Macaca fascicularis: one gene and its partners. The protein of the gene in region 1 interacts with the protein of each later gene in a pairwise test. Links are inferred from orthologs where the notes say so. Each region holds a gene or a part of one and is shown in the gene's direction. Other genes may lie near its edges.

Evidence for each region.
Region 2: the proteins of EVL (region 1) and TRIM9 interact in binary tests that used the Homo sapiens proteins (3 or more experiments, as listed by UniProt). The two-hybrid records come from large-scale screens. The link is inferred for Macaca fascicularis from reciprocal best matches to the Homo sapiens genes EVL and TRIM9.
Region 3: the proteins of EVL (region 1) and ABI3 interact in binary tests that used the Homo sapiens proteins (3 or more experiments, as listed by UniProt). The link is inferred for Macaca fascicularis from reciprocal best matches to the Homo sapiens genes EVL and ABI3.
Region 4: the proteins of EVL (region 1) and SPTAN1 interact in binary tests that used the Homo sapiens proteins (3 or more experiments, as listed by UniProt). The link is inferred for Macaca fascicularis from reciprocal best matches to the Homo sapiens genes EVL and SPTAN1.

Annotation. Positions count from the first base shown.
Region 1 is NC_088381.1:168,230,250-168,235,386, forward strand, and holds part of EVL (ena/VASP-like protein), read left to right. Parts: exon of another isoform or gene 1-47; intron 48-2,273; coding exon 2,274-2,340; intron 2,341-2,827; coding exon 2,828-2,885; intron 2,886-4,795; coding exon 4,796-4,833; 3' UTR 4,834-5,137. UniProt on the Homo sapiens protein: Ena/VASP proteins are actin-associated proteins involved in a range of processes dependent on cytoskeleton remodeling and cell polarity such as axon guidance and lamellipodial and filopodial dynamics in migrating cells.
Region 2 is NC_088381.1:118,941,708-118,947,908, reverse strand, and holds part of TRIM9 (E3 ubiquitin-protein ligase TRIM9), read left to right. Parts: intron 1-203; coding exon 204-299; intron 300-2,614; coding exon 2,615-2,737; intron 2,738-6,201. UniProt on the Homo sapiens protein: E3 ubiquitin-protein ligase which ubiquitinates itself in cooperation with an E2 enzyme UBE2D2/UBC4 and serves as a targeting signal for proteasomal degradation.
Region 3 is NC_088390.1:57,496,078-57,502,278, reverse strand, and holds part of ABI3 (ABI gene family member 3), read left to right. Parts: intron 1-1,055; coding exon 1,056-1,223; intron 1,224-2,263; coding exon 2,264-2,440; intron 2,441-4,072; coding exon 4,073-4,158; intron 4,159-4,380; coding exon 4,381-4,476; intron 4,477-4,702; coding exon 4,703-4,860; intron 4,861-6,201. UniProt on the Homo sapiens protein: May inhibit tumor metastasis. In vitro, reduces cell motility.
Region 4 is NC_088389.1:15,332,140-15,338,292, reverse strand, and holds part of SPTAN1 (spectrin alpha chain, non-erythrocytic 1), read left to right. Parts: intron 1-752; coding exon 753-865; intron 866-1,293; coding exon 1,294-1,311; intron 1,312-2,506; coding exon 2,507-2,569; intron 2,570-3,690; coding exon 3,691-3,745; intron 3,746-5,810; coding exon 5,811-6,007; intron 6,008-6,114; coding exon 6,115-6,153. UniProt on the Homo sapiens protein: Fodrin, which seems to be involved in secretion, interacts with calmodulin in a calcium-dependent manner and is thus candidate for the calcium-dependent movement of the cytoskeleton at the membrane.

The DNA of each region.
Region 1 (5,137 bases):
TCTGCTGTACGGAGATCATGGGGACAGCCTTCCAAGCAGAAGGAAGGGTAAGTGCCAGGGCCCTGAGCCTGCAGCCACCCGAGAGCTCTCCCACACCTCGGAGTAGACAGCAGGCCATGGGGCGGGGGAACGGGAAGGGTGAGGAAGAGGGTGTGAGGGAGCGCTGAGCTAGAAGTTTAGATTGTATTCATGTGCAGGGTGTGAGGGAGCAACGAGTTAGAAGTTTACATTGTATTCATGTGCAGGGCCGTCAGGGAGCTTGAGGCACAGGGTGCCATGATGATGGCTGGGGAGGGGAAGGCAACCAGAGTGGGCAAAGCGAGGGCCCTGGAGCAGATACAGCAGCAGGGGGAGCCTGCAGCGCTCCCAGTGGACCCCGCCCTGTCCTGCTGGTGCAGCAAAGGCAGGCTGCCATGTGAGTGGCCAAGGGTCGCTCACTGGGCAGGAACATTGTCAAGGCCATTCATGCTTGGAATAGGGTCTCTTTTCAGCTCTGAGACAAATCTGTTCTCTGATTTCCAGATGGCTCCAAGGGGAGCATGTACCACCACCCCTCTGGTGTGTTGCATTGCTTAGGAAGCCTGCTGTGTTTCTCGCTGGGTGGCTATTAGGGCTGCAGATGGAGAGGGCCAGGGCCTGGCGAGGCGGAGCAGTCGGCCCAGGTGTCCCAGCAGTTGTTGCTGGAATAGGGTCTGGAACCCACAGGAGAGGCCTGAAGGACCCAGGGGCCTCTGGCTGGATGCGTTTGACTCTCAGGACCCAGAATTACAGACCTATTTAGGGCTACGCTTGGCCAACTCTTTCTTGAGCTCATCTGGAGAGTGTGGGAACACGCATTCTTCATCCTTATTCTCCCTGGCTGTGGGCAACAGTGGTCCTCAGAGTCACCAGATGGTCCTCATCTGTGCCCATAACCCCTCAGCAGCCAAGGCTGGCCCTGCCAGATAAATGTGTTGTGCCTGTGGTCACACCCAGGGGCTCATGCCACATACGTTTCCCTGAAACCATGGGCTCCAGCCTCCATTCTGTCCATGTGGGAGGGAACTTGGGTCCCAGCAGTGTGTCTTGCAGCACCAAGTCACGTTGAAAAGACCAGATAGACAAGCATTTTGCCAAGATCTTCCAGGGAAAGTGCATATGTGACACATTAACATTCAAATCAGGCCGGCACGGCGCTCATGCCTGTCATCCTAGCAGTTTGGGAGGCCGAGGCAGGAGGATCACTTGAGCCCAGGACTTCGAGACCAGCTTGGGCAATACAGTGAGACCTCATCTCTACAGATAAAATTTTTAAAAAGTAGGGCACATGTCTGTAGTCCCAGCTACTGGGAGGCTAAGGTGGGAGGATCACTTGAGCCTGGGAGGTTGAGGCTGCAGTGAGGCATGATATGCCTCTACACTCCATCCTGGGTGATACAGTGAGACCCTGTCTCAGATCAATAAAAATAAAATTCAAATCAGTTATCTTAGTTCAGAAACTTTTCAAAGAAGTGGTCCATGCAAACTACCCCGAAAGAGCAAAACCAGCCAGGTGCAGTGGCTCACGCCCATAATCCCAGCACTTTGGGAGGCCCACCCAGGTGGGTGGATCACGTAAGGTCAGGAGTTCGAGACCAGCTTGGCCAACATGGTGAAACCCCGTCTCTACTAAAAATACAAAAGTTAGCTGGGCTTGGTGGCACATGCCTGTAATCCCAGCTACTTGGGAGGCTGAGGTAGGAGAATCGCTTGAACTTGGGAGGCAGAGGTTGCAGTGAGCCAAGATCGAACGCTGGCTCCAGCACCGGGGGTGCTGGTGTGTGTCAGGAGCGCGCCTCCAGGCTGGTGTCAACTCTGCAACTTCACATTGTACCTCCTGCTGCCGCTGCTGCTTCCCCGAGCCCCAGCTCAACCTGGAGCATGAGCTCCCAGCCTGAGGAGGAGGCTGTCGATACTGTTTTTCTTTCCAGGGAGGCAGCGGGTGGGTGCGATGTTGTCACTTAAGTTGCCACCTCTGTGTAAGAGCTCTCTGATCAGAAAGCAGTTTCTTTGTTGACCCCAGCCAGCCTTGGCTCTCAGGTTGGGAAATATGGTCACAGTATCCTTGGAGACCTCTCCAGGTAGAGACTGGGTCTGAGGTGGCCAGAGTCCGAAGCAAGCAGCCTCTGTGGAGCGAGGGGAGCAGGTGGGCCTGACCTGAGCGCAGCCTCTGCACAACCAGCTTTCCCCCACACCCATCTCCAGCCAGGGCACCCACAGGCCCTGCTCCCACTTACCGCACCCGCCCTTCCCAGGATGAAGCCTGCTGGGAGCGTGAATGACATGGCCCTGGATGCCTTCGACTTGGACCGGATGAAGCAGGTGAGCGTGCCCTGTGCCCTTCCCTCAGAGGCCGAGGGCAGCCAGTAGGCTGGGGACCGTCTCTGACCAGCACGGCCAGGCAGGCCCTGGGGGCCCACACGTGGCTGCCAAAAGGCCAGTCAAGGAACAGCCGTGGAGGAAAGGGGGTGCCCAAGCCTGTCCTTCGTCCCCAGCCCCTGCCATCACCAGAATTAGGATGTCCCTCAACCTTTCTGGGTACCTCCCTCAGGCCTGCCTCTGGGGCTTTCTGCCCCGAGGCAGCCCTTAGTTTCGGTGGTGTCTACCTGAGGGAGGTGGTGGCAGGATTTTCCCAGGCCTCCCACACCGTTCCCCCTCAGCGTGGGAAGGGGCCACGAGGAGACAAGGGTGACAGATGCAACTCTGGAGAGGCCCAGGAGGCCCCGAACCCTTTGGACATAGCCCAGCCCAGGCCGGCTTTTCTGTCTCCACTGCCTGTCCCTTCACCTGGACGCTCCTCTCCCAACAGGAGATCCTAGAGGAGGTGGTCAGAGAGCTCCACAAGGTGAAGGAAGAGATCATTGACGGTGAGTGGAGCCCCAGGCGGGGCCACAGAACGAGGGTCCCTGTCACCCAGGGTGGGGACCTGCCGTTTTGAGCTGAAGCCCATGCTGTACTGGGCCCTGTGAGAGATTCATTCTTCTTACAATCTCTACTTGAGGAAACAGGCTCAGGAAAGCTAAGTGGCTTGCCTAAGAATTTGTAGCCCCCTGGTAGTATGACACCTGAATGTGACCTTCCACACCCTTGCACCTTCCTGGAAGACCCACGTGGGAAGTGCATGGAGGGGAGACCCCAGCATCGTTCCAGAGCCAGGTCTGGAGGAAACCACCTGAGCTTCTGTCATTTCACCCCCTGGTGGTTTATGTTGCCTTCTTGATACTGCCACCTCGAGTCACCGGTGTTGGGGTTCTGGGGGGACCATTCTGCCTTCCTGGGGGTACAGGGAGACCAAGCACTACAGAAGCACCTTCCAGGCCTGAGCTCGTTCACAATCTGCCTGGTCCCGGACTGGGGCGCAGGCGGGGAGCAGCCTCTGGCTGCAGAGCAGGGCGGGCCTCAGTGCATCACATCCGTCCTTCTGGTTTCCACCAGAGCCTTTGAGCGCACTGGCTCAGATCTGCAGCCAGAGGAAAAGGGGGAGTCTGGGCAGGGCAGACTCAGGGGACAGAGCTGTGCAGCACAGCCTGTGCCAGCTCCCCCACCTGCCTCCCCAACCAGGGTGACGAAGGCTGACACCTAGGTGTGTAGCTGGGTCTGGCCCCCAGGGCATCACAGTGACCTGGGCAGAAGGGTCCCACAAGCACACAGGGGCGGAGGCTGATGGCAGAGGTGAGAGGCAGGTGGGAGTCCGAAGACCCAGGCCTCCTCCCGCCGCCGGCCCACCCTTGTTTGAGCAGAGAGCACTCAGTTCCTGTTTGTCCAGTTCCCCCAAAGGCCTGGGCTGGGGAGATAAGGAGTTAACAAACGAGGGGAAAGAGGCAGCCTGGGCGATAGGCAGGCACCCAGCCAACTGGTCACACCACCTTACTGCCAGGCGCCATCCGGCCCCAGGCACAGCTGGGTCAGAAACTCAGGGCCCGCCACAGCCTCTCCACCTGCCGTGGTGCAGCCCCAGGTGGAGGCCGCCCTGGCTGAGAGCCAGGGGAGGGGAGGCATGGGCTATGCCAGGGGCCCTGAGAAGCAGCTCCCTGTTGCTGGGGGATGCCTGCCCCCACCACCCCTCACCTTCTCCTAGCTGTTGGCTCTTGGCCCAACAAGGTCCATCCGGGGAGAGGCCTGAGCTGACATAGAGGAGGGGGAGTCTGGGAGGGGATGGATACCAGAGGAAGGAGGGAAAGGCCCAAATTTGGGAGGCAGGGGGTTGGTGCACTAGCTTGGGGTGGTGAGGAAGCGGGGAGGAGGCAAGAAGACAAGAGAGGCCCCGCCTCTCCTGAGGAGTGAGCAGAGCCAGGGTGGTCCCTGGGGTCCAGGGCCAAGATTTCCTGCTGACCCCTGCAGGAGCTGGAAGGGCAGAGCCTCGGCCGGCCTCCACTATGTTGGGGGAAGGGGTCCCGGGCCCCCGGCACCTGGACACCCACCTGTCCAGAGCCTACAAAGACCCTGTGTCCCCACACAAAGCAGCTCCTCACACCAGGGTTCCAGTGCCCACCACTCCTCAACAGCAATGAGGCCACAGGCAGGGCATCAGCCTCTGTCTCCATGCCAGGTCCTCCCCTAAAAGGGCAGTGACAGCAGGGGCCACCGCAGGAGGAATGGCAGATGAGACCCAAAGCCTTTTGTCGTCACCCCAGAGGTCTGCGCCATAGCCTGGGTGGGGCTCCCTGGAGATGGAGCGGGGCAGATACCAGGCAGGTCCACACCAGGGGTGCAGGGCCCTGATGAGCCAGGCTGCACGGTCCTGGCTGCACCTGAGCTGCTGCCCCCTGTCCCGCAGCCATCAGGCAGGAGCTGAGCGGGATCAGCACCACGTAAGGGGCCTGCCTCGCAGCGCTGAGATGTCGAGCCCATCCGGCGACAGAGGACAGCCAGGAGCCCAGCCAGCCCCAGACTCCAGTGCACCGGAGCACGCACAGGAGCCTGGGCGCGCTGCCGTGAAACATCCTGACCTGTGACCACACGTTACAGTGAGGAAACCAAGTGCAACTCCTGGGTTTTTTAGATTCTACCTGACACAGAACACCAGGTCTGCTCATCTTTTTTGTGTTTTATATTTGCTTATTTAAGGTACATTTCTTTGGGTTTCTAGAGAGATGCCCCTAAGTCACCTGCTTCATTA
Region 2 (6,201 bases), about 49 Mb from region 1:
AAGGAGAAACTACTCAGGAGCCCAGGGAGTTTGGACACCGGAATCTACCCATACAAATGCCAGCAAAAAGGTCTAACGTCAGACAAGAGGAATCTGAGGAGGCTGATGACTCTCCAGTTTTGAGTCTCACTGAAAACACCTGTGTGGCCTTGTTGCTGCTTCCTGTGATTATAGCTTCATGGCTTCCTTCTTTGTCTTTGCAGAGCCAGCTCTCCCAGGCGCTGAACGGACTGTCAGACAGGGCCAAAGAAGCCAAGGAGTTTCTGGTGCAGCTCCGCAACATGGTCCAGCAGATCCAGGTACGGGTGTTACCTGGGACACAAGGAAACCCGTGGGTTAATACGTAACTGTGTGGCGGGAGAGTTTCCTTCTCCTCTTTGACTTTTATGTGTTGTGGGAAAATTCCTACTTTGTTGTTGTTGTTGTTCTTTACATACAAACACACACAGAGATCAGCTTCAAAGATACCCCTTCTTAAGGTAGTTGCTTTTTGCCAACAAGCCGGAAACACAGCCTGATTTTCCAACTGGTTCCTGTCTTCCACACTGAGGTCCTAATTCTCTACTACTGAATATTCAGAAAGAGGCCTGTTTCTTTGTAAATTCAGGATCCTTATTGCTGAGTTGGTAAAGCCCTGTAGGTTTCCAAAACACCTTGTAATAATTGTATCATTTAATGGTAACAGGTCACGGTTTTCTCTTTTTTTCTTCCTTCCTTTATTTCCTTCCTGCCTTCCTTTGTTTTCTTTTTCATTCCTCCCTTGTTCCTTCTTCCTCTTTTTTTCTTCCTCCCTTTCTGCCTTTCTTTCTTCTTTTCTTCTTCCCTGACCCACAATAATGCTTCTCCTCTGCTTAGACATTTAAATATTTTTCAACCACGATCCCCTGGCAACTCCAATTTCAGATTGCTTTATCTAGACACAATGACCAGCAGTTCAACCAGCATTTAAGAGCTCATAAATTCTCCACTATAGCTGAAGGAGAAAAACCATAGACTGTATGAAACACTAAAATAATGACCCTGTGTACTGTTTAGCATTCTTATGTTTTGAGGTTTGTCTCACAGAAATAACCTGGCCTCCAGTAAGTTGACTAAGTTCATATTTAACCATGTCAAGGCAGAAATGGATTTTTAAATGTAAGCCACCCTTTCAAAGAATTACACACTAATTTCTTTGCCTTTTTTTGGCACACATGCCCATGTTAAACTTTTGATTCCCTAACAGCCTAGCAGTTTTGTATACTTCCTTCTGTTTTCCAAAGCAATAGAGTTTATCAATCAGTTCTTTCTTTACTCTACTGGCATAAAATGTGCAGCCCCAGGCTTGCTTCTGCCCGGGCCTCTTCATCAGAGCAAAGCTTTCTTTCTGCTCTAAATCAGTGACAGAGCTTACAAGGGGAAGGTTTGCCCTCACCCCACCCTCCAATATTACCCTTCATGTGGCACAGAGAGCTCTTAAATGATGTTTTCCAAGGGCCTTCTCTGAGAGTTCAAAAGCAATTGCCCTGAAAGCCAAAATTTAGCATTGCTCAAGCAATTACTAACACATTCCTTATACGAAGACCTTGCATTTGAAAACAATTACTAAATGCCTACCAGCTGATTATTACATAAAGAGACACAGTTCTTTATGACTTTGGTAATAAATTAAAATTTGTGCCTTAAATAAATTAAAATTGTGCCTTCCTTGCCAGCCCCCAAAAGTTTACAGTTTCCTCAACTGGGTGGTGCTTTTTAAGTACTACTAATGTATATGTGAGTATTTAGCTTTCATTTACTGTAAATTACTTTTTTTTCAGATTATGGTTTAAGAATCACAATTGCATATGTTACTCATTGAAAGGCTTATCCTTAATAACAGAGTATAACTCATTGAAAGAATTGCTTGAAATAAATGTTTATGGCATGTACAGATTTAAATCAAATAAAAATGTTATATCCAGCATTTAATTTAAACATCAAAGGGAAGCTATAATTCATTTAGCATGAAGTTGCCTTTCTCCTGCAAGGTGTTGGGTCATATCTGATTTTTATGGCAGGGTGATCCCTGTTACACACATTGATTGTTTTTGTCTGCCTACTATTTGCTTTCCTTAATGAAAGGGGCAAGTACTTTTACCCATTATTCTTGTATCTTATAAACTTCTGTTCTCATTGGATTATTGTTAACATTGAAGACCAGTGCCATCCTTTTTCTTCTTTATTCCTTTGAATTTAATGATTTCTCATACCTCAGCAATGCCCCACTCCCTCCTCATTGCCTTTTTGAATGCCAGCTTCCATCATACGTAGCTGGACATATGTGGCCTTCAAAAGCATTCATACACAACTCTATAAACTATAGCTTTGTTTTACTTAATATAATTCAAATTGTGGAGATGACTTCCTTTTGATAAATTTAAGCGATAAATATTTATCCTTTTAATCTAAATTTAAAGCAAAACATGACCAGTGTAGAATAAAGTTTGTCCAGTTATTTTTTAAAAAATTACCAAATGTGCATTGTGGACAGAGTTCCTTTTCATTCCCTTCAGCAGGATGGGGGAGCTCTGTTTTCTCTGGCAGCCTGAGGCACCCAGCACCTTGCAGTTGAGAAATGTGCTCTATTACACAGGAGAACAGTGTGGAGTTTGAAGCCTGTCTGGTGGCCCAATGCGATGCCCTCATCGATGCCCTCAACAGAAGAAAAGCCCAGCTGCTGGCCCGCGTCAACAAGGAGCATGAGCACAAGCTGAAGGTAAGTACTGCATCATGGGAAGAGCATAAAGCCAACAAGCCAGGCTCCTGGGAGGCATGATGGACAGGCTGGGAGAATTCCTTCCCATGGACAGAAGGAGAGGATGCCCACAGCCTTGGGTAGCCAGTGGTCTGGCCAGAAAGGAGCAGGCACATCTCTTCATTCACTGCTTACTCCTTCATTTACCCAAATAATGTTTGTTGAGTGACTTTTCTCAGCCAGGAACTGCTGTGGACATAGGAATAATAAATAAATCAAAATTCTTGCCTTTATGCAACTTACATTCTATCAGGAGGGATAAATAATAAATAAGTGTCTTCCTCCATTTTATGTTGGTGTAACAGAATCCCACAGACTGGGTGATTATAAATAATTGAATTATATTTAGCTCTTGGTTCTGGAGGCTGGGAAGTCCAAAAGCATGGTGTTGGCTTCTGGTGAGGGCCTTCATGCTGCATCGTCCCATGGCATAAGGCAGAAGGACAGGCGAGCATGGGAAACAAGAGAATAAGGGCCAAACTTCAACCTTTAAGTGGGAGCCCACTCCCATGATAATTAACCCTCCCCCAAGATAATAGCATTCATCCATTCATGAAGGTAGGGGCCTCATGTCCTAATCACTCCTTAAAGGCTCCACCTCTTAATACTTTTATAATGGCAATTAAATTTCAACATGGGTTTTGGAGGATATATTGAAACCATAGCAATAAGTAAGTAAAATGTGGAGTACATTAGTAAAAAAGTGCTAAGAAAAATTTTAAAAGTAGAATAAGAGGATAGTGTGTACTGGGGATGGGGGTGGAAATTTTAGATAGAGTGACCATACAGAGGCAAAAATGTACTTTTGAATTGAGAAATAGAATCTGTACTTTCTAGAAAATCAACATGATTTGTCTTAACTTCTCAAGTGAACTTTATAGTTGGAAGCTGCACAGAATTTTGTCATGACACGGTGGAATCAATTGGCTATAAGAATGGGACCCTATTGGCAGGACTGGTCCTCTAGGAGACATCTGATATTCCATCTATCGCCCCATTGGTGCAGGGCAACAAGATGTGAGAGGAAGGATGAGTGGATGAGAAGAACCAACCAGAAGGGGTCCAGCAGTAGACAATCAGCTGAGGCCCACACATGTGGCCAGCAGGCCTCAGAGTGGCTACTGGCGGGTGGTGGGTATGTAGTGTGCAGTGTTGGCATGGCTTAGGATGAAGGGGGAAATGAGGTCTGACCATATGCTCATAGTGCTGGGCAGGGGAGCAGGAGGAGGGAGGGAAATGAAGGTGGCTCAGAAGGAGTCCTGCCCTTATGGAGTTTACAGTTCAATGGAAGAGATAAGTTATACCCACAGCTGACCCCAACACAGGTAGGGAGTGGGCTTCCAGGAGAGAGGTGCCCAATGTCACAGAAGTTGTGACAGGGCAAAATTACTTGCAGCTAAAATGGTCACAGAGAGGTGCCCAATGTCACAGAAGTTGTGACAGGGCAAAATTACTTGCAGCTAAAATGGTCACAGAGTAACAAGAGCTGGCACCTGAGCAGTCCAAATTATAGGAAGTGTGTGTTAATGACCACTTACATTCCTACCTGCAGGAATCGGCAAAGCTGTCAGGGAAGAAGAGGGTGATTAGCACATGTGCACTGTGGTCTTGGTCCATCCGGTTAGGCCTGAGGACCAATGGATGTTTTCTGTATCCAGCACCTCGCCTAACATGGCTAAAAAACTGTCACTGTAGCCCTTCAATTTGAGCACCCTTCAGAAACCCAAACTTTTATTGTTATAGCAGTCCTCAAAATATCATTTGAATCACATAGAACTGTATAAAATAAAACCACAAATGTCTTTGGGAAATGAAACTGAACAGTTTGCCCCACTAAATAGTGGACCAACTATTTAAGTACCTAGCCATAACATTTTAACTTTTTTCTTAATGGAAATGTCTTTTTTGAAACATTGCAAACACTTCCCGGCACTTTTTAAAAGAATATGGTGAACAGTTTGGGACAGTCCCATGGTGATGGTAGGGCAACTCCAGTTTTTCTATATGGGAGAGACATAAAGGCAGCAATCTGGAGGGAAGGGGGAATTTTTTGACGATTGAGAATGCATCATTTATCCCTATCAAAGAATGGCAGAAGGCATGAGAAGCCCCCTTTGCCCTCCTGCTCCGTGCTGCCTCTGCAGAACAGGACTGTGAGAAAATCAGTTAAGGACTGTGCTGTAGCTGCAGATGTCATTGCCCAGGAATGGCTTTCACGCATCCCTGGGATGCCACATCGCGTGACTATGTCCTCTTCCCTCCTCTGATGGTCCATCTGTACTGGCTGGGCTGCCCCGGCAGGGCATGCGGATGCATTTGGGGGCTGCTGAGCAGAGGCAGCTGCCTGCCCTCATTCCACCCTGCTCAGGCTGGAGTTTCCTGCCCAGACCTCAAAGGACTGCAGAAACCAGAGACAGGTGGCTGGCTATCCCCCACAGCAGCAAAGCTGTTCTGTCTTCTGTCACGAGTGATTTGTTTCTCTGCTGTTTTCAGCTGATTATATCTGTCATTGCTTCCAAAAACAGCCACCAGTGCCACTCACACCGTCATGACCACTGATACAGGCCTCCACGGCTCGCTCGCTCTCCTTCTCTCCCCCTGCCTTTTCCCTTTCTTGTCACTTCTGTTGCTACTCAGGTTTGTGAGAAAACACTGGCCTTTTATAGACATCACTTGCCAAGCACAGTACTTCTTTCTATCTTTGTTGGCTAACCCATCACTCACTGTCCTGCAGGGGTAATCTTATGTTCTTCCGCTTCCCTTTGGCTGAGTTCTCTGAGCGCCTGCTTTTTCCTGACAAAGAGAGGAATTGTGTGTGTATTTTTCTGGCATCTCTCTCCTAGAGCAATCCAAAAAACTAAGGATGCTGGAAAGTGAGTGTGTATTTACACAGTCTTTATAATCTACTCATGTCCCTCTCTGAAAGCACTGATTGCTTGAACAGATTTAATAGTTCTGGTTCTGAAGTAAGATGGAACTGAGTAGTAAAGAGCCCATGTTCTGTGTCATAGAGGCTGGAGTGAGAGGACACACTTTCTCACTTACTAGGTTTCTCACCTTGAGCAAGTCTTTGACTCAAAAATTTATTTCATCTGTCTGTAAAATAAGGCTAGAAGTGGTACCTCACAGGGCATTGCAAAGCACTTAGCACGATCTTTAATGTGTATTAACTATTATGTTGTGATCGAGAGAGAATGACTGGAAATATGGTTTCGTTCAACACACTGAAGAAAAGTTTCCAGGGGCTTGTTTTCTATGATACCATAGTCCATAGTCTAGAATTAGCCCATACACTGGTGTTATTATCCATGAACCTGGGAGATTCTTTAGTGGCATGAATTCGTAATTGATCATTGTATAAAATAGTTCACAAAGTTTGGTGAGCTAACAAAAACAAAACAGCTTCTGAGACATATGCAGATGTG
Region 3 (6,201 bases), on another chromosome or scaffold:
GTAGAGACGGGGTTTCACCGTGGTCTCGATCTCCTGACCTTGTGATCCGCCCGCCTCGGCCTCCCAAAGTGCTGGGATTACAGGCGTGAGCCACCGCGCCCGGCAGGTTCAAGTGATTCTTATGCCTCAGCCTCCTGAGTAGCTGGGATTACAGGCACGCACCACCATGCCTGGCTAATTTTTGTATTTTTAGTAGAGACGAGGTTTTGCCATTGTAGCCAGGCTGGTCTTGAACTCCCGACCTCAAGTGATTTGCCTGCCTGGGCCTCCCAAAGTAGTGGGATTATAGGCGTGAGCCACTGCCCCTGACATGGTTTGTTGTGTTTAAGAATGTCGGCTGGGTGCGGTGGCTCACGCCTGTAATCCCAACACTTTGGGAGGCCGAGGCGGGCAAATCACCTGAGGTTGAGAGTTTGAGACCACCAGCCTGATCAACGTGGAGAAGCCCTGTCTCTACTAAAAAAAAAAAATACAAAATAAGCCAAGCATGGTGGTGCTTGCTTACAATCCCAATTACTTGGGTGGCTGAGGCAGGAGAATCGTTTGAAGGCGGAGGTTGCGGTGAGCCGAGATCGCACCACCGCACTCCAGCCTGGGCAACAGGAGCGAAACTCTGTCTCCAGGAAAAAAAAAAAAAAAAAAAAAAAAAATAGAATGTCTGCTCTAGCCAGTGTTGCCTTCCTCTTTCCTTTCTACTATTCACCCCCACTCCAACCCCTAAAAGGACAGCCTGTTACTGAAGTCTTCAGGAGGGTGGTACCATCATCTGTACTCAGTCCTCAGCTTGACTGTTTGAGAATGGGTATATTTCCCTCCCTTTGCATCTGTTCCCCAAGGCTGCAGATTCACTTTTTTAAAGTGAATTTAAAGTGATGTTGTAGCTAGTCCCTCTTGCTACAACATAATTCTGCTGAGAGCCAACGCAAACATCTAAGGGTTGCGGCTCTGTCCCAATCCAGCGCCTATTTTCCCTAAATCCTCTCCCATCCCACCCCAGCCAGCCAAGGACCCAGTGGAAGATGCTGGCCCTTAGGCCAGGGCTGTGTGTATTTCAGGCCACAGACAAGCGGAAGGCGCTGGAGGAGACCATGGCCTTCACTACCCAGGCACTGGCCAGTGTGGCCTACCAGGTGGGCAACCTGGCCGGGCACACACTGAGAATGTTGGACCTGCAGGGGGCCGCCCTGCGGCAAGTGGAAGCCCGTGTAAGCACGCTGGGCCAGGTAAGGGGTGTGGGGCGTGGGAAGGCGTCTTGCATCAGGCCTCAACTCTTCAGCCCGACTCAGACATTTTCTACATCAAAAGTTCCTTCCTGCTTTCCCCCATGTCCAAATGCCCAACTCTACAGCAGAAGGTTGGCACTTTCCAAGCTTTTTGGACCTCCTTATCTCTGTGGCTATGCTACAAATTCCCCGAAGGCAGAGCTTTTTCTTTCTTGGAATTCTATCCTGGACATTAGAAAGTAATATCTACCAATCAGAGCAGCGGCATATACAGGAAAGAAGCAAATGAACCCTGTTTGCATCTAAATACAAGCAGTGCCTTAATAAATATCCTAGACCCAGGGTGCTAGCTTGACAAGGTCATCTTCAGCCCTGGAAGCACTGCCAGCACCATACAGTATACACCCTCCACCCTGCCACAGTGTTCTAGTGCACACACCCTCCTTCCTTCCTGGATCCTTGACCGAGGAATTGCCCCATAAAGCACATGCACAGACCCAGCCACACATTCAGCCTGGCCTGTGCATCACCCACATGTTCAGTGGGTGGGGTGTGCCTTTTCCTCTCCCCCCGCAGACCAGAGTTCCCACCCTTTCGAACTGTAGGCTTTCTCCACGGAACATTCTGAGAGGAAGTCAGTTCACTTATTTGTCTCCCAAAGCTGGTCAAGCCACCATTCTCTGCCACCTCCATATTTTCCCCCTCTGCTCCCAAGCCAGCCCAGTGCTTGTCTCTTCCCGGCATCCCCAGGGATGTTGTGTTTTCTCTTTTCCTCCAGTTCCTGCTCAGCTAATAATAACCCTTACTCTCTTTCCACCAGGAAGTGGCTCCAAAGTGGCTTCATCCTTTCCTGCCACTTTTCCCAATTGCTATGTAGCCTGGTGGGGGAGCGGGGGGAGGGGAAGGGCCCTCTTTTTCTAGACCTCGTTGCCTCCCATGGTCCCTACCCCCAGCCCAAAGTCTCTATCTTCTTCCTCCTTAGGGGGAAGGGCATTGGACACAGACCACCCCTCTCTGTCACCTTGAACCCTGTCATGCAGATGGTGAACATGCACATGGAGAAGGTGGCCCGAAGGGAGATCGGCACCTTAGCCACTGTCCAGCGGCTGCCCCCGGGCCAGAAGGTCATCGCCCCAGAGAGCCTACCCCCTCTCACGCCCTACTGCAGGAGACCCCTCAACTTTGGCTGCCTGGACGACATTGGCCATGGGATCAAGGTAGAGAGAGGGACCCTCTTCTTTCCCTCCAACCCACCCTCTCGTGCCTTGTGGCCCTTTTCCCTCCAGACCCCCAGTTCTCCTGCACATTTTGTCCCAACTTGCCACTGCTTTCTTTCCCCACTCCCTGAAGCCACCACTCTGAGCTCTTCTCCCTCTCCCTAGATTTTGTAATCCCTCCCTCCAAAACTGGTCTGTACCGTCCTCAGAGGATCTGCTGAGTGTGAGATCCTGAGCACCCCTCGCCCCCCCGCCCTGCCCCTGTGCCACCGGGCATGTGGGAAGGGGAAGAGGGGGAAGGGAGGATGTCAGGGTGTGCATGAGAATGGCTCCCAGCCACATGAGAACAGCAACTTCCTCTGTCTGGGGGTTTGAGGTCACTGCACTGAGCAGTCACCCCACAGCTGCTTTGGTGAGAAGAAGCGGGGATGCAGCCACACAAAGGGGACTTGGTGAAGAGAGGGGAGCATGGCGCTGGCGTCTTCTCAGCCCACGTCCTTCTGCGAGGTCGGAGAGGGCACGCACTCACACCCGTCCCGTCTTCAATTCCTGTCTCCACACCTTGACATTTCTGTATTGAAATGAACCCCTTGATATCCTGAACTTATCAGCCCCCCTTAAAGGGGAAACCACACTCTCCCCTTCAACCACCAGGCCTCCTCCCCACCAGTAAGGTCTCTGTTGTCCAACTTATATTCTTTTTTTTTTTTTTGAGATGGAGTTTCACTCTTGTTGTCCAGGTTGGATTGCAATGGCGTGATCTTGGCTCACTGCAACCTCCACCTCCTGGGTTCAAGTGATTCTCCTGCCTCAGCCTCCCGAGTAGCTGGGATTACAGGTGCCTGCCACCATGCCTGGCTAATTTTTTTTTTTTTTTGTATTTTTAGTAGAGATGGAGTTTCTCCATGTTGGCCAGGCTGGTTTTGAACTCCTGAACTCAGGTGATCTGCTTGCCTCAGCCACCCAAAGTGCTGGGATTACAGGCGTGAACCACCGCTCCCAGCCCAACTTATATTCTTTGTGCTTCAGCTCAAATCCCTTTCGTCTTGCCCCTGGTGAAGCCTATGAGGTAACACTGTACCCACCCCTTGGGGAAGTCCCATTGGTAACAGAAGTTCCCTCTTTCATGTGGGTGTGCGCCCTGTCATTTGCACATCCCCTCTAAGTGGCCTGGGTCCTGCTCCTCTCTGCCCTAACTCCCCAAAGCCAATTCCACAAATCTTCGAAAATGACAGGTGGGACACTTCTAAGTGTGATGTGTCCTCTCCTTTCCCCACCGCCTCCTCAGCCCAATCAAAGTTAGGGACTACTAACTAAGCCAGGGCCTCAGCTTCCTGGGCTCTGAGATGGTTTGGAGGAGGGACAGGGGTGCCGGGCCCACTCAATCCGCTGTGGCTGTGCAGAGGAAGTGGCTGTCGGCTTTGGTAGAATTGAGTCCCAGAACCCAGGCAATGACAAGGGGGTAGCGTGGGGGAAGTGTAGGAGAGGGCCCTGAGAAGTGGAAGTGGGAACTGGCCATGCTGGGCTCTCCCTCCCGGTTCTCGTCCGCCCCTCCTCCATTTCCTCTTGGGGATGAGGGTGGGGAGCGGCCTCTCACCCCAAATGTCAGCCCTACCTCCCGCTCCCTCGCAGGACCTCAGCACGCAGCTGTCAAGGACAGGCACCCTGTCTCGAAAGAGCATCAAGGCCCCTGCCACACCCGCCTCCGCCACATTGGGGTGAGGCCTCGCCAACTAGCCTAGCCCTACCCCGCGCGACCCTGAAACTCTCCTCCCCCAGCCTCGCCACCCACCCCTGGCGCCTGGGGGCTCAGGCCGTCATGCTGGATGCCTGGCGCCAAACCTCCCCCTCGGCCACATGCCTTTCCTGCTCACACCCGACCCCTGCTGGCCAGAAGCCTTCCTCCTTCCTCCTAATACCCACTCCCCGACCCCCGCCAGGAGACCACCCCGGATTCCCGAGCCAGTGCACCTCCCGGTGGTACCCGACGGCAGACTCTCCGCCGCCTCCTCCGCCTCTTCCCTGGCCTCGGCAAGGTGAGACCTACAAGCCTGCGTGGGAGGGTGAGGGGTGGGAGGTGGCTTTCGAGAGGGGCCTCCTGCCAGTGGTCATAGTGACTCCTGGGCTTGAAAGGACCCAGTTAGTCCTGGGTCACACGTGCAGGGCTGGGTTCAGGATTGGAGGGGTGGGGCCAGCTGGGGATGCTGCATTAGGGAAGGCGTGTCGCCAACCGGGCCGAGCCCCGCTTTCTCTGGTGTTCAGCAGCGCCGAAGGTGTCGGTGGGGCCTCCATGCCCAAGGGGCAGGCAGCACCTCCAGCCCCACCTCTCCCCAACTCCTTGGACCCACCTCCTCCACCAGCAGCCGTCGAGGTGTTCCAGCGGCCTCCCCCGCTAGAGGAGTTGTCCCCACCCCCACCGGGTAAGGAGCTCCGCCCCCTTCTTCTTCCCAACCGTGGGGTCGCTTTTCCGCCTCCTGCCATTCCCCAGCCCACCTCTCTTGGATCTGCCCCAGCCAGCCTCAGTGAATGCCTCCTCCATGGAGCGCAGCACGGGAGCGAAAGGAGGCGGAGGAAGTGAACTAACATAACTTAGCGCCTGCTGTATACCAGACCCTGTGTTCGAAGCTTCTCGTCCATTTTCTTATTTAAACTTAATCCTGGCCGGGCGCGATGGCTCATGCCTGTAAACTCAGCACTTTGGGAGGCCGAGGCGGGCGGATTACCTGAGGTCGGGAGTTCGAGACCAGCCCGACCAAAATGGAGAAACCCGGGCTCTACTAAAAATACAAAATTAGCCGGGCGTGATGGCACATGCCTGTAATTCCAGCTACTTGGGAGGCAGAGGCAGGAGAATCGCTTGAACCCGGTAGGCAGAGGTTGCGGCTAGTGGAGATCCGGCCATTGCACTCCAGCCTGGGCAACAAGAGTGAAACTCCCTCTCAAAAATAATAATAATAAACTTAATCCTAAAGGCCAGGTGGGGTGGCTAACGGCCGTAATCCTAGCACTTTGGGGGACTGTGGAGGGCAGATCACTTGAGGTCAAGAGTTTGAGACCAACCTGGCCAACATGGCTAAAAATACAAAAATTAGCCTGGCTGGTGGTGCATGCCTGTAATTCCAGCTACTCAGGAGGCTGAGGCAGGAGGATCACTTGAACCCGGGAGGCCTCCAGGCTGCAGTGAGCTGAGATCACCCCACTGCACTCCAATCTGGGTGACAGAGCGAGATTCCCTCTCAAAAAAATAAAATAAAACAAAACAAAATAAACTTAATCACGAGAGGGTCCTTAGCACTCTTCCTTAATAGATGAAGCCACTGAAGCTGAAGTTCAGTGACTTGCCCAAGAGCCACCCAGCTAATAAGAGGTAGAGTCTGACTGTCCTCTAGTGCTGGATCTTTCAGGGTTTACTGAGCACTTACTATGCGCTAGCACACCGTGGGAGGACCAGGACAGGAGAGGGCTGGAGGAAGATTGCATGAGATGGGTGCATTCTTTTTATTTTCTTTTCTTTTGAGATGGAGTCTCACTCTGTCATCTAGGTTGGTTGGAGTGCATTGGCAAGATCTCAGCTCACTGCAACCTCCACCTCCTGGGTTAAGCCATCCTCCTGCCTCAGTCTCCTGAGTAGCTGGAATTACAGGCGTGTGCCACTATGTCCAGCTAATTTTTGTATTTTTAGTAGAGATGGGGTTTCACATGTTGGCCAGGCTGGTCTCGAACTCCTGACCTCAGGTGATCTGCTCACCTTGGCCTCCCAA
Region 4 (6,153 bases), on another chromosome or scaffold:
ACTACAAGCACATGCCACCACGCCTGGCTAATTATTTTAATTTTTGTAGACAGGGTGTTGCCATGTTGCCCAGGCTGGTCTTGAACTTCTGGCCTCAAGCAGTCCTCCTGCCCAGGCCTCCCAAAGTGCTGGGATTACAGGTGTGAGCCACTGTACCCAGCCAGAAGTTTCCAGTTTCCTTTTTTTTTTTTTTTTTGAGACAGAGTCTCAAAGGCTGGAGTGCAGTGGCCGGATCTCAGCTCACTGCAAGCTCCGCCTCCCGGGTTCACGCCATTCTCCTGCCTCAGCCTCCTGAGTAGCTGGGACTACAGGCGCCCGCCACCTCGCCTGGCTAGTTTTTTTTTTTATTTTTTAGTAGAGACGGGGTTTCACCGTGTTAGCCAGGATGGTCTTGATCTCCTGACCTCGTGATCCGCCCGTCTCGGCCTCCCAAAGTGCTGGGATTACAGGCGTGAGCCACCGCGCCCGGCCAGAAGTTTCCATTTCTGACAGTCCAGCAACTCCCTGCTTGACTGGCCAGTCGCTTCCCCGCCAGGTCCACCCCTTCCTGAAGCACCTCGGGGGGTGGGAACAGAGAAAGAACTACCAAGTGCTCTGAGCCGGCCTCATGTCTCCCAGCCTCCTTCCCCTCTCATCTTTGGGGAGGTTCCTTGCAGGGAGGCCACCTCCATCCATCCTGAGCCCATCTGTGAAGGAGGGGCTGGTGTCACTGCCACAGCAGTGCATAGCATCTGCCCCCCTTTGGCCCTCAGGAGAGGGAGCTGGAGCTGCAAAAGGAACAGCGGCGGCAGGAGGAGAACGACAAGCTGCGCCAGGAGTTTGCCCAGCACGCCAATGCCTTCCACCAGTGGATCCAAGAGACCAGGTGCCAGCCCTCTGGGGCCAGGGGGCAGCAGCATGTCCCTGCTATGCTTAAGCCCTGGAGAGCCTCCAGCCCCCAGGAGGTGGGGGTGCTTTGTGTAAAACCAGAGGCAGCCTGGGAATAAAGCTGGGCTGGCAATGCCTGGTCGTGTTTGGAGCCGGGAGTGGGAGCATAGGTAGAGCAGCCTCCCAGTGCTGCATGTCCCAGAGACCAAGTTGCTGGAGCTCCTGGATTGAGTGGGGCCACACAGGGTGTGTGATCAGCCCCAGCAGTGATTTGGCGACAGACGATGCAGGGTCTATGCACTGAGTACTGATGTTGCTTTTGTTTTCCTTTCTTTCTTTTGTCTTCTCTCTGTCCCCCACCTCCCGATTGCTGCTGTTGTCCGGATACCACCTTGTCTCCTGGCTGCTTGGATCTGCTCTCCACAGGACATACCTCCTCGATGGGTTAATATTGTTTTCTTCCTTCTCCGGGCTTGTCGTGTGGGGTCTCGTGCGCTTGCCCCTCTGCCCTTGTCCTGTAGCCTGGCTTGTGGAGGATCCCGGGATGGGCCTTCCTGCCCAGGGCAGGCTGCACTTCCCCTCCCACCTTTCCCATCACCTGACAAGGAGCGTGTTCCTTGCCCCAGAGCCCATGGTCCCGGGTCCCCGATAGAGCCTTCAAGCCAGAGGGAGCTACCCTTGCCTCACTGAGTGATTCCAAGGGCTCACTTTGGGTAGTGAAGGTGATGAAGCACGAAGGCCAGAGCTGGAGTCCAGGGGCCCTGAGAACCCCCGCGCCTGTCCAGTCCCCGGGCTCTGTTGGGCTCTCAGCGCTGCTTCCGCAGCGTGTCCAACAGTGGTCAGTGGGCATGAAGCAGATGGCAATGTTGGGGGCTCAGGCAGGGTACAGTAAGTTCACAGCTGAGAAGGGCTGGGCACTGACACCTCCCAAGTAGCTGAGGCTGCCACTTGACTTTCCTGGGGTCAGGAAGGGTAAGAACTGTCCGCCCTAATAGAAGGCAAAAATGCCCCCGTTATGATGTGATAGACAGGACGTGGGAGGAGCCCCAGGGAGGAGCAGAGCTGTCCCACCCAGTCCCGGTGGGGGCTTCTCTGCTCAGCCTGGGGCCTCTCCCTGGGCGGGTCACCTTTGTCATCTGCCAAGCCCGCTGTGAAAGCCAGGGCTGGTGGGACTGGAGTGGCTTAGCCTGCACTCCTGAGGCTCAGCACACAGGCATATCAAGCCTGTATAGGCGGCCAGGAGAAAAATAGACCCCTCCAGCCGGGCCACACATTCTGATGGCAGAGCAGCTGGGGACGTAGGGATCGCAGTTTCTGGCCTGTGCCCGTAGGACACCCTGGCCACCTGACTCCCCTCCCTGCCCCATGGCTGTGTCTGCTGGTCTTGTTCTTGTCTCCATGAGGTCATGAGGTGCCACGCTCCCCTCACCTTATGGCTCCTTCCAAGCCCTGCCCTTCTTGCCCATTCCTAGTGTGAGGTGCCTGGGGTGAGCCATTGGGCCTGCTGCCTCCAGGTACCCGCCAGGCACCAGGTTGCCCTTGCCTGCGCCCTGCCAGCTTGGGCCTTGTATGTCTGTTGCAGTGTGCTCTTGCCTCCCCTCCCTTTGGTGTATTCATTTGGTTTCTTTTCTTTGACTAGCATAGCATATCGTCGAGTCATTCGTGTCTATCAGTATGAAGTTGGGGATGATCTGTCTGGAAGGTTTTTCTCCTTATTTCTCTTCTTACCTCACTGTGGCTTTACTGATGCACTCTTGACATCCCCAGGCGGCTCCACCCTGACTAACCTGCCGCCCTCGGCCGCTTGGGAAGGAGGGGTCTGTCCTCCCACTGCACCGGCACCCAGCCTCCTGCCCCCAGGTCCTGGGGGGCATTTTCCCCGGGGGGACATGGCGTGACTGTGAGTCTGACCTGCTGGGGTAGGAGGAAGCCTGGTGCCTTGCCTTGCTAGAGCACTTTGAACTTGGGGAGATTGCAGAGCTAACCCCAGCTCACTGGGTTTTAAAAGGGTAGGCTGGGGCGAATGTGGGTACAGGGGAGCTTGGGCTAAAACCCCACCAAGGCCATACACCCTGTGTGAATCCATCCTTGCACGTCCCTAACTTGTCGTCTTTGTTTACTGGTAGCCTCTGTGACCTGGCACTGTGTTCTCTTGGGAAGGAGCTTCCCCAAAGCCCATCTGCTCTCAGAACTTGATCCTAGAGAGGAGGCTGCCTCCCTGACTGTGTCTAGAGGATGAAACCGGGATCTGGGGCTTAGTCACAGCCATCCCTCCTTTTGGCACAGTTGGTTGTGATCTCCCAGCACTCCACTTGTGTCCTTTGTCTGCAGGGTCGTGCTCTCATTCCCCCTAGAATGGGGCTCCCTCCTCAGGAACCTTGCCAGGACACTCCAGGGTTTCTATGGGGAGGCTGTCAGGTTCTCAGCCTCCCCTCTGCCCTGAGGTCTCCCGTCTGTCAGGTGTCAGGGTGTCCCATCTCCTCCAAGGCTGCAGAGAGGATGCTCAGACAGGCTTGCAGCTGCCCTGTACCCATGGGGGAATTTAAACTCCATTCCTGAGTCATCCTGGCCTTGGGAGCAAGACGAGTGGGCTCAGCCCTAGCCCACACCAAGGCAGCAGCTTCCCATCTCTAAAACGGGAGAAATGCTCCCTGCCCTCCCTGGATTCCTGGGGCCCATTAGATAAAGATGGCCAATTGCAGTTAGGTTCAGTTCCCTTAAAAGGAATGTGAGGTTGCCAGGCACTGCTCTGAGAGAAGGTTCATTCTGAGCTCTCGGCCAGCTGGGAGCAGGCCCTTTTCCTTACTGTCCTTCTGTGTCTAGGTCCTGCATGGTGGAGGAGTCGGGGACCCTCGAATCCCAGCTTGAAGCTACCAAAGTAAGTGCCCATGGGGCTGTGGCCCAGCAGAGACCCCTCACCCAGCCACCCCCCAGGCTACCCCTTCCCTTCCTGGTTTAAAGTCAAGAACCAGATGTGCTATTGTACTCTTTTTTTTTTTTTTTTTGAGACGGAGTCTTGCTCTGTCACCCAGGCTGGAGTGCAGTGGCCGGATCTCAGCTCACTGCAAGCTCCGCCTCCCGGGTTCACGCCATTCTCCTGCCTCAGCCTCCCGAGTAGCTGGGACTACAGGCGCCCGCCACCGCGCCCGGCTAGTTTTTGTATTTTTAGTAGAGACGGGGTTTCACCGTGTTAGCCAGGATGGTCTCGATCTCCTGACCTCGTGATCCGCCCGTCTCGGCCTCCCAAAGTGCTGGGATTACAGGCTTGAGCCACCGCGCCCGGCCTATTGTACTCTTTTCCCTTGGTCTAAAGCAGTCTAGGGCTCTTCTCTCTCTCTTCTTTTTTCTTTCTTTCTTCATGGAGTCTCATTCTGCCGCCCAGGCTAGAGTGCAGTGGTGCGATCTTGACTCACTGCAACCTCTATCTCCTGGGTTCAAGTGATTCCCCTGCCTCAGCCGCTCCCAAACAGCTGGACTACAGATGTGCCAGCACGCCCGGCAAATTTGTGTTTCTTTTTAATTATCCTTTGAGATGGAGTTTCACTCTTGTTGCCCAGGCTGGAGTGCAGTGGGCATGGTCTTGGCTCATTGCAACCTCCACCTCCTGGGTTCAAGTGATCCTCCTGCCTCAACGTCCCAAGTAGCTGGGATTACAGGCGCCCACCACCACACCTGGGCTGTTTTTGTATTTTTTGTAGAGACAGGGTTTCATCATGTTGGCCAGGCAGACTGGTCTCAAACTCCTGACCTCAGGTGATCTATCTGCCTTAGCCTCCCAAAGTGCTGGAATTAAGCGTGAGCCACCACACCTGGCCTAATTTTTATGTTTTTAGTAGAGACAGTGTTTTGCCATATTGGCCAGGATGGAGTTGCCATCCAACTCCTGATCTCCAGTGATCTGTCCGCCTCGGCCTCCCAAAGTGCTGGGATTATAGGCGTGAGCCACCACTCCCTACCGAGGGCTCTTCACTTTAAAGAAAGTCTGGGGCTGGGTGTGGTGACTCACGCCTGTAATCCCAGCACTTTGGGAAGCTGAGGCGGGTGGATTGCTTGAAGTCAGGAGTTCGAGACCAGCTTGGCCAACATGGTGAAACCCCATCTCTACTGAAAATACTAAATATTAGCTGGGTGTGGTGGCAGGCACCTGTAATCCCAGCTACTCAGGAGGCTAAGGTAAGAGAATCACTTGATTCTGGGATGCAGAGGTTGCAGTGACCCGAGATCAGGCCATTGCACTCCAACCTGGGTGACAAGAGCGAAACTCCATCTGAAAAAAAATTAAGTCTTTGGGCACAGTGGCCCACACCTGCCCCAAGTCCAGCATGGGCAATGTAGCAAGACCTTGTCTTAAAAATAAGGCTGGGTGTGGTGGCTCATGCCTGTAATCCCAGAACTTTGGGTAGGCCAAGACAGGCAGATCACTTGAGCCTAGAAGTTCAAAACCAGCCTGGTCAATGCAGTGAAACTTCACTTCTACTAAAAATACAAAAATTTGGGTGGGTGTGGTGGTGGGCACCTGTAATTCCAGCTACTCAGGAGACTGAGGCAGGAGAATCACTTGGACCCGGGTGGTTGCAGTGAGCTGAGATTGCCCCACTGCACTCTAGCCTAGGTGACAGAGTGAGACTCCATCTCAAAAAAAAATTAAAGATCTTTGGCCATTGCTTCCTGGAGTCCTCACCGCACTTATCCTCAGTGTGCACTGCCCCCTGGCAGGTCTACCAGCTGCTTTAGAACCCTCACATTGAAAGTCTCTCCTCCTGCTGAGGTGGTTGGGGTTTCTTCAGCTTCACCCCATCCCACTATTCCTATTCTAAAATGTTCTTGTTTTAAGAGGTCTCAGGCCAGGCCTGAAGCAGGAACCAGAGGGCAGTAAGTGGCTCCTGGGCTGGTGACTGAGCTGAGGGCCCCTGTCTGAGCATCTGTGCTCCCCGCCCCTGCAGCGCAAACACCAGGAAATCCGAGCCATGAGAAGTCAGCTCAAAAAGATTGAGGACCTGGGGGCCGCCATGGAGGAGGCCCTCATCCTGGACAACAAGTACACGGAGCACAGCACCGTGGGCCTGGCCCAGCAGTGGGACCAACTGGACCAGCTGGGCATGCGCATGCAGCACAACCTGGAGCAGCAGATCCAGGCCAGGTACCCGGGAGGGCTGTGGGCCAGGCTCAGCCTGGAGCCCAGGGAGGAAAAGACATGGTCACCTGCTGTGTGGAGGGTCTGCTCCCTAATTTCTGTTCTTCTTTCAGGAACACAACAGGTGTCACTGAGGAGGCCCTCAAAGAATT